Linked DNA regions of Arabidopsis thaliana. The protein of the gene in region 2 interacts with the protein of the main gene of each other region in a pairwise test. Each region holds a gene or a part of one and is shown on either strand. Other genes may lie near its edges.

Evidence for each region.
Region 1: the proteins of CPFTSY (region 2) and AT2G25650 interact in a two-hybrid assay, tested with the Arabidopsis thaliana proteins (one large-scale study listed by BioGRID).

Annotation. Positions count from the first base shown.
Region 1 is NC_003071.7:10,912,471-10,916,958, reverse strand, and holds AT2G25650 (DNA-binding storekeeper protein-related transcriptional regulator), read right to left. Parts: upstream 2,449-4,488; 5' UTR 2,195-2,448; coding exon 1,958-2,194; intron 1,877-1,957; coding exon 953-1,876; 3' UTR 743-952; downstream 1-742. Other genes in the region: emb2410 (embryo defective 2410), read left to right, coding at 1-250, 357-503; AT2G25640 (SPOC domain / Transcription elongation factor S-II protein), read right to left, coding at 3,051-3,251, 3,479-3,538, 3,914-4,034, 4,268-4,488. UniProt on the Arabidopsis thaliana protein: Probable transcription factor. May play redundant roles with GEBP and GPL2 in cytokinin responses by regulating the transcript levels of type-A ARR response genes. Involved in stress responses.
Region 2 is NC_003071.7:18,848,911-18,854,276, reverse strand, and holds CPFTSY (signal recognition particle receptor protein, chloroplast (FTSY)), read right to left. Parts: upstream 3,190-5,366; 5' UTR 3,030-3,189; coding exon 2,724-3,029; intron 2,617-2,723; coding exon 2,512-2,616; intron 2,436-2,511; coding exon 2,362-2,435; intron 2,251-2,361; coding exon 2,192-2,250; intron 2,081-2,191; coding exon 2,043-2,080; intron 1,871-2,042; coding exon 1,750-1,870; intron 1,663-1,749; coding exon 1,594-1,662; intron 1,502-1,593; coding exon 1,419-1,501; intron 1,304-1,418; coding exon 1,235-1,303; intron 1,140-1,234; coding exon 1,077-1,139; intron 989-1,076; coding exon 875-988; 3' UTR 536-874; downstream 1-535. UniProt on the Arabidopsis thaliana protein: Signal recognition particle receptor protein. Binds GTP specifically. The GTPase activity is inhibited by the N-terminus of the protein until binding to the thylakoid membrane. Activates the GTPase activity of FFC/cpSRP54 when bound to the cpSRP complex.

The DNA.
Region 1 (4,488 bases), 7.9 Mb from region 2:
ATTAGCAGAATCCATATTAGAAGGAGATGGACAACTTGCTTTCAAAAAACTTGCAACCGCAACACTTGGAACCATAATGCCAAGGATAGAAGGAAAAGGAGAGTTTGGTCAGGCGAGATGGAGGTTGGTGTATGCTCCGCAGATCCCAAGTTTACTCTCTGTTGATCCAACTGTGGATCCTCTCAAGTCTCTGGCGAGCAACATATCATTTGGAACGGAAGTTGAAGTGCAGCTCGGAAAACGTCTTCAGGTCAGGCATAAACATTGAAATCTTCTTTCTTCTCCATATGGCCTCATTTTTTTCAAAACCTAACCAAAATAAGCACTCCACGGTTCTTGCTGTCTTTTATCTACAGGCCTCTGTGGTAAGACAGATGAAAGATTCTGAGATGGCAATGCAATGGACACTTATTTACCAGCTCACGAGCCGCTTGCGTGTCCTTCTGCAATCTGCACCTTCCAAACGTTTGCTTTTTGAATACTCTGCTACATCACAAGACTAAATCCTTTTGTCTTCCTCTGTCGGATTCATATGGATATAAGCCGTTTGTTGCAAAGGAAGTGCATTTTGGAATAGCATGGTTTTGGTGACTACCGACAAGAAAAATTATTTTATTATTTGGTCAGTCTTTCTTTGTGCACTTCTTCTGGCCTTTTAGTGGTTAAAAATGTAAAAATTACATTGTAAATGCCTTTTGTTAGGGAATGCATATAAAATGTTTTGCCACTTCATTGACTGATTGGTGCAACAAGAAAGTAATGAAATTTATTATATCCAACAATGGACATGGATGGCTCTTCTGGATACTTCAGTTAAAACTGGAATGTCTTACAAACACTTGCCCAAACAGAACAAAGACAACATCCAAAGATATACACTGAACAGACTAAAGCTTATGGCTTACTAAGAACCTAATTAACACCAAATGCTACAACGGCTTATTGGTTTCATCTAACTATCATTAGCTGCCTCTGCAAGCTTGGCGGAAAATCTAAGCTTCTTGATATTCAATCTTCTTTCCTCAACACATAACGCTTTCCATTCATCACTCAACTCTCTTCTTTTTCCAGTTCCAAGGTTCATCAGCTTCTCAAGCTGCAACTTCTTTTGATAACCACTTAAACCTTGCGACATTACAGCCTCAAATGCATCCTGCACAGCGCATAACTCATCATCATCATCGTCATCATGTCTCTCTTTTCCACCAGTAGTCCCGTTCTCTGTTGTTTTCGCTGCCCCATTCTCATTTACAAGTTCAGTATTAGCCACTTCCTCATGCTCCTTCAACATCTCCTCACTCTCGCTCTCGCTCTGCTGTGCTATTTGAGTAGTCCCGTTATTGTCTCTTATATTCTCTGCACCATTCTCATTAAAGGGTTCCTCATGCTCCTTCAACATCTCCTCCTCGCTCTCGCTCTCGAGCTGCTGTGCTTTCCGAGCAGTCTCGTCGTTGTCTCTTATCTCCTCTGCACCATTCTCATTTAACGTTTCCTCATGCTCCTTTAACATCTCCTCCCCACTCTCGTTCTCCTGTGCTATTCGAGCAGTCCCATTTTCAGCTGCGCCATTTCCGTTTACATCGTGCTCCTTCACCATCTCCTTATCCATACCATCATCATTACCAAATTCACCTTGTCCCCAAATCATCGAAGAAAATCCAAAGGCTTCAGAATCACTAGACCTAGTAAATTTCGGATCATTCCCTTCACTGATTTTCTCCCAATGAACATGAAATCTCCTTTTCAACTTCCTGATCTTACTCAAAACCTGCTCCTTGGAGAATTTCGCAACGATAGAACTTCCGAGGAAACTGTAAAACGCATCCCAATCAATTTTGGGATTGAATCCTGTCTTAGCTCTGTAATCAACTAATCCCTGAGAAATTTCGAATCTGGTTTTGAGAAAATCAGAATGCAAAACCAAATCAAAGTGTAACGGAGAAGATGAATAGAATACCTTTAAGATAGAGAGCTCATCTTCCTCGTTCCAGATCCGGACGATCAACGGCGGACCCAAATTCTTCTTCTTCTTCTTCTTTTTCTTCTTCATAGTCTCTTCGCCTGCTTCTGCTGCGAAGGAAGCAGCAGCACGCTTTGAGGAAGGATTCCGTGGAGATTCTCGATGGGAGAGGGTATCGTCGGAGTTATCACCACCACCACAGGAAGAGAAATCGATCTGCTTCGGAGTCACCATGGTAATTGCTTTACACTTGCTGATTCTAGAGGCATGCAGAGAAACCCTAAATCAGGAAATCATATTAACAAAATTGATCAGTGATTCCCAAATTTTCACGACCTTTAAAAAGTGAAACCCGAGAGAAAAAAAAGCTAGTCTTTCCAAATTTCTGAATCGAGCTGGTCAAAAAATATCATGACTGAAATTTTCTCTGCACTTCTGTTTTATAGTATAATCGATAGGAGTGGATTTTGTTACTTTTGTACTTTTTGTTACAGAAAGGAGCAATATATTAGCGGGCTGCGCAAGCCCATCTTACTAATAAAGTGCCAAATATCGGTGACTGTTGAGAGAAAATCACAAAATTTGGAAAGCAGTGTTGCCTGCAACAGAAAATGCATAACAAACACAAAATTGCTAAGGTGAAACAAAAAACAATTAATATCCTCCTCTGCCATCCTGATGAGACCACCACTCACTACATGGTCTAACCATCGAGCCACCATTTACATGAGTAACCCCAAGAGTCCAGTTAGATTGAGGCTGCCACTCTGGTAGTATATCATTGTCATTATCATTATAACTTTGGTTCCTCAAAGGTTCAGATTTTCCATATTTTTGAATAAGCTCTCTTACAGATACAGACCGGCTTGTCCGGTTCACGACAACATCCCCACTGGAAAAATAGTTAAATTCAGGCAAGTCATCATCTTCATCCCGAGCCATGGTCATTGGGCCAAACCCCGGTGGCACATCATCACCATCGTCATTGTTGACCTGTAGCATGTTACTGTAACGAGAAGTATTATATGTGGTTAACGAAGAACCCTTTTCACGGTGGTTCTTGTGAGAGTTGTTAGATAGTGGTGATTTTTTAAATTGTGTGTCTTCTCCATACAACAACACCTATAAGACCATCATCATTTATAGATTTCAAGAAATCGAGTTGGTTTCTCGGAACAATCTTGTTTAGAATCTCGACAGTTCTCCCACGGGTTGGGCATAGGTATAGCTCAACTCCTGAAGCTGGTTCTGCATAACCCACCCTCCCATCTTTAGCGTATGAATCCACCACCTGTATAGTAACAAAACCAAATGCCCAAATTTCGTTACCAAGTTAGACATTCTACAGATATTTAGGAGTGTTTCAATTTAAATTCGGTTTGGGTTTTCAGTTTGTACAGATTCGCGTTCAGTTTTGATCAAATAAATCATTAATATTCAAATAAATCTCAAGTTTTTTTAATCATCTTTTCGTTTATTTGGATACACAGAATCTTGGTTAACTACCAACGCTCATACCTCGGAAATGTTCTCTTGTTCTGTCTTTGAGCACTCTTCTTTGCAGACGAAACACATAACCTGTAACACGAAAGCAAGGTTTCAGAAGTACCATGATGGATAAACGAGTTCATCACATACATATAGAATCGAGAACAAACAGGTCTTAGTTTTATTGGAATATGGAGGCCTATTCAAGAAACATAAGCTATGCAATTGTTCTGGTGAAAATATTTTTGTAAGTCCATCTATCTCCATTGTGATTCACAGATGTAATGTATTTTTCTCAATCATTCACAAATCAGTATTGGCCGTTAATCTCTCCTCTTCTTTCCTAAATGCTTCTACTTAAGCTTGGTTAAACGTCACAGTTAATAGCTTTTGCAGGGGCTCAAACACAGAATGCGTATATAAAACATGTACATTAATGATAGAGGTAAACGTGTAGACAAATACCATTACAGCACGACTCCTGGAATTTGGGAGCTCTCGAACAAACTTCTCAAATGCATCTAATCTGACTCTACCCTTAATCTCGAGCAAAATAGGCCACTCTTTTGTAGTAGTCTTTTCGCCACTGTGAAGCGTAAAAATCAGGTTGGTAAACATGGTATCAATAACAGCGAAGCCATATTCATTAAAAAAACATTTTATAGAGCTGATAAGCACTAGAATAGTATAGATAAGTAGTAACATGTAGACTAAATAAAGAAAGCTATTCATATATGCAAACCTAAATTTGGAAATGTGGAATAAAAAAAAAATACTGAGATAGGTTTGCTACCACTCATGAAACAATTTATTACAAACCTTCTTAGAATGCCGATGACAGAGCTCACAGTAGAAGGACTCAGCTGGAGCACACCTTCCCATAAACGTTCACCATCAGGTATGAAAACAGATGTAGTTTTGGATTTCAAATCAGAACTAGGCTTTGACGATACTATGTCAGCATCCTCAGCGTTAACAGGTGATGATGCCTTAGCCGTAAGTGGTGACAATGCCTCAGCCTTAACTGGTGATGTACAAAG
Region 2 (5,366 bases):
TTAATATTTTTCTAAGAGGTTTTTTATAAATTTTATTTTTGTTCTTTTCTTTCTTACAGTTTTTGATCGTTAGCCGATTCCACTAATTTAACTTGTTTTCGCATCGTTTTGTAGATCTAATATACAAATTATTAACATTTTCGAAAAATTTTAAAATTTTTGTTTTTTTTTCTTTTTTATGGTTTTTAACTTTTAATTTGGATATTAGATTTACAAAATAAAATAAAAATTAACCGGATTTTGGATCTTGTCATTTGAAGTCGTATGCCGATACCACTAATTCAACTTGTTTTCACAATGTTTTGTAGAATTAATATACAAGTTTCATATTAATATATTTTCAAAAGTTTTAAATTTTTGTTTTTTATTCTTTCATTTTTACAGTTTTTATTTTTAAATTTGAATATTAATTTTTACAAAATGATATGAAAACTAATCGAATTATGGATCATGTCATTTGACCTTTGCATCGTTTTGTGGATTATATACAAGTTATGAATATTTTTTAAAAAAGTTTCATTTTTTTTTCTTTCTTTTTTACGGTTTTCCTCCCCTCATTGTTCTTTTATCAATCTTTGTAATTCCTTTCAAATACAACATTAACAATATACAAAATAGTAGTGAGACGAGACACAAGCAGTTCCTATGACTCGTTACATTCTTGTGTGATCACTATCAGTGTGCAAACGAGCTTTGTCACATCATTAAAAATCGAAACTTGCATCCATTGCAGAAAAAGCTTGTCAACCTAAGATCTCCAAGAAAATAAGGAATGCTTCCATTTGCATCTCCGGCGAATTCACTGTGAATTTTCCACTTGGCTCTGGCCTGCGTTGAAGATGATAGCTTTTTGAAGAAGACGAGGTTTTATGGCTTAAGAGAATATAGCATTCACAAAAGCCTCCGGATCAAAAGGTTGGAGATCTTCTACAGCTTCTCCTACACCGATAAACTTTACGGGAATGCCCAATTCCTCAACCACACTGACCTGCAAGACATGGAGAACCAGTTTCAATGACAGAGCTAATGAAAAATAAGAGCTTTGAATGAGATCAAAAATTTTATGAGATATTTACCACACAGCCTCCTCTAGCAGAGCCATCTAGTTTCGTCAATATCAAACCGGTGATACCAACAACCTGAAAAAAATGTAACCCAGAAACCTCAAGATTTTACGAAGAAATTCTAGTTTGGGGAGCCAGAATCACTAGGTTTAGGTAGTTTCGTATGGTACCTCGTTGAATTCTCTAGCTTGTGGAAGCATGTTCAAACCAGTGTTTCCATCAAGGACAAGTAGGATCTCCTAACAATTCCGTAAAATATTATTTTTAGCTAACGCATGATCGAAATTGGAGACTAACAGAGTGTAATAATATAAGCAAGATAACAGAATAGGATAAGTAAAAAGGCTCACTCACATTAGGTGCACCAGAGACAATCTTGCCCACTGCTTTTTTGCACGCAATCAACTCCTCCATCAAACTGTAATTAGTATGGAGACCTTACATAAAGAGGTGTAATGTTCCTCAGATTCAGTAAAGACGGTACATAAGCATGTTTTTTAAGTCAGCAAGCAAACTCTTGTATGCTTACGTCCAGATGTGTCGCACAGTACAACATCATAACCTTCCTCCTTCCCCCTTTTCACAGCCTTTGAGAGAACTATTCAGAAACAGAACAAACATGTTAAAGTTGTTTGTGCACCAAACACCGATACTGGCAAGCCAAAATAACAATGCATTGGTTTACCCGTGGCTGCTTTAGCCTTGTCTCCTTCAGCCACAACAATCTCACACCCAGTCCTCTCTGCCCATATCTCTAATTGGTCACTTGCTGCTGCTCTAAATGTATCACCTGCTGCCATTAATACCTATGACAAATCATCGCAGGATTGCTGATGAACATACTGATACTCAATTCTATTTCTACCTACCCTGGCAAAATTTCTCATCACCTATTTGAGCAACCACTTTCTAGTCTCAACTCTCAAGAGAAGAACAAAAAGGATCTAGTTTACATGATATCAAACATGAAAGGTGTACCTTAGTTCCTTCATTTTTCAATCTATGAGCCAGCTTTCCTGAAAAACAAAAGCCAGAATCTTTCACATAAATCTTTCTGTGGCTAAGCCAAAGCAAACCAGCTAGTCATTTGAATTCCCACTCTAAAGCATTAATGCCAATTTCCTTACCAAGAGATGTCGTCTTCCCACCTCCGTTCACTCCAACAATCATTATAACAGCTGGTTTCCTGATACACCATAACATATAACCAGACTTAGAACCACAATCTTTCATAACTCCACTTCAACAGAGCAGAGGCGTGAAAGAATAACAAGTAACACAGCTAAATGAAGAGAACCTAAAACCCAATTGAAGCTCTGTCTTGCTGTTTTTCTTAGCCAGCATCTCCAACACACTTTCCTTCAATGCATCCTACACCATTCAGAAGTACAATCAACTAGCTATAAACCCTAATCCCTAACATAACCACAATTTCGTTCAAATCAACCTTAATCTCGCTTCCTGATTTGAGTTTTCCTGACATGATATCCTCTCTTAGCCTCTCCACAATTCTAACAGTAATCTTCGGTCCAAAATCAGAAACCAAAAGCGCCTACATTGAATTATTCCCACTATTAGGTTTCAGGGAAACTCCATTTGCATCTGAAACCCAGAGAATCAACAATAATTCGAATTAAGATGGCTTTAAAATTAAAAAACCTCTTCCAATTCATCAAGAACTCGGTCTGTTTCAGCAAGATTCCAGAAGAGTAAGAGCTCGTCGATGACTGCTAGATTTTCCCTAGTCTTAGAGAATCCGGAGAAAACTTTCTCCACGTCGCTTTTGGCCTTCTCCTTAATCAACCGACCCAGCCGCGTGAAGAATCCGCTCGGTCCGGCCGAGCACCGGAACCGGGTCATTCGTGGACGAAATTCTCCTCTGAGAGGAAATAATCCGATCCGTTCGGAGGAGAACGGCGATATACGTCCGGCGAGAAACGAGAGGTGAGCAGAAGAAGTTGCCATGGCAGTTGTGCTAGAGAATCTGTGTAAGTTACTGACTTACTGGATAATAATCTTTTTTATACGCTGCGTTTTACGTTTCTATTGTTTCCCAATAATGAACCAATCTGCAAAAAAATGAATAATGAAAAACGCAGCGTTAATGCTTAATTTTTTGAAAACTATTAATTATAATTATAAATAAAAAAAATCCTCAAATACAAATTTGTTTTGTATATAATAGATTACGTCTTTTTATATTCTATCTATCTAGATTACAAGTTTTATCAAGGATATGTTAGTAAATTAGTGAGAGAAAATAGTTAATCATCTACAGTTATCATTTTGAAAACTATAATTAGTTTTATTTGTTTATATACTAATTTCTCTTTCAAAGGTATGTTTATATCTTACTTTGAACGATTTTCAAAGATATTGGAAATTTGAAATCATAAGATTTATCCTCAAACGAGCACAACAAGTAACTAGCAATCATTCAGCTACAATCACATCAACTATTTCATTCATTGATGGCGCCATTAAGCTTTGGTACAAAGTATGTATGTTTTAAAACCTACTACTATATTTGATTTCTTTTTCTTTTGCCTCTATTTCCCGTAGATTTCTCAAATGTCCATAGAACGACTTTAAGACTTGATCCAAAGGATGTAAACAAAGTCCAACAACTTCTTCACACGTGATTCAATTTTAACTCAAAAGTGCATTTGTGGCGAATACTAGTTTGACAATTTATATTTTGTTGGCAAACAATTTATAGGACTTCGCCTATTTTGATTATTATATACACCAAATTTGTTTGCTGAGGACGACCAAAAGTGAAGACTCCAAATTTGTTTCCTTAGGTATAACGTTTAACTTATCTTTTTCTCTTATGTTTCGCATTTGTCGTATATTTGGTACACCAACAGCCGAACACATTCATACAAGCGTCATAAACGTGACATAAGCAAAACGATGTCATGAACGATTAGATGGTATGTGGAAAAATGTTACTAAGACAATTTGCTGGTCTGTTTTCTTTAACGAGTACTTGAAATTACATATGCATGTACTACACAGTTATAGTACATACATGTGTTCCACACAAAAAATATAAATAAATCACAATCTTTTTTCCACAGAATTGATAATGTGGGTTGAGTTTTCCCATCAACGGATCGGATCTCTAAATTCAGTGGTTTAGACCTGACTTTATATATACATATCGTGTAAATTACTTTAGATTTTGGTTTGAGAGTCTCTAATTATAAAAGAAAAAACAAGTGGCCGATTATAAATTTCAAATCTGTTGAATTATCTAATTAACAATTTGCTTATTTTAATAAATATTTTTATTATTTTTGTTTTTGGTAGCCATTTTTAAATTCTATCTTCTTATATTAATAAGCACCGAGAAATACTTGGTGATTATTCTAATTTTTTATATTTTTATATGTATTCGGTCAAAATTTATAGATTTTTAACTCTATTACTCTATATTTAATGACTAGTACATGTTCTCCGTTTTTTGAATATCTGAATTGGCATTCTAAAAAAAAACACTTACAATATTCGTAAACCATACCTTGTAAGTTAGAATTAGCAATTCCATTCCCGCTATCCACCAAAAACGGTATAAGAAAGAACTAGTAGATATTGACCTAGATTGACTGTATACTTTTATCAAGTCAACACGACAACATTGTAGAAAAAGTACTACATAGTTGATATGAGTGCCTAATCCATGTGCCATGAAATAACTGGGCAACAAACAACAAATTTCCAGAAACAGTCTGTAATGATTTATTCATCAGTACTGCAAGCTAAGCCCATCGGTCATCTTGGGTCATATGATAATATACATATAATAATATCTCGCAAAAATACATTATAGAGTGAGCGACCACATCGTTGCAGTTTTAAACTATTGTTAAATATATGAACATTTCCACAGCTATTTAGCTTAGCTCACGACACGATGCTGCTGACATATGTAATTTACAATGTATAGCCATGCATGCATGTGTTTGTTGGCCAAGATTTTTCAGTTTTTACCTTTCCCAGCTATTACCTACATCCACTTTGAATTGGGATAAATCACGTAACTACGACTACAATACCAATTTGTATTAATGTAATTAACTGTTACGTCAAAATAATTGATCAAAATTATATATATACGCAAATGTGAGAAAGCGCGGCAGCGGCTCTAGTGTGTTCTGGGACGGTAAGTTGTTCTTCGTGCAATGCCAATGGCCATCACAGCTTTTCGTGTTAACGAGGGGGTTTAATTGCTCCTTAAATGTTTCAATCACTATATGATAAGAGCACGTTTGTTACATTAGTCTCAAAAGTGAAGAT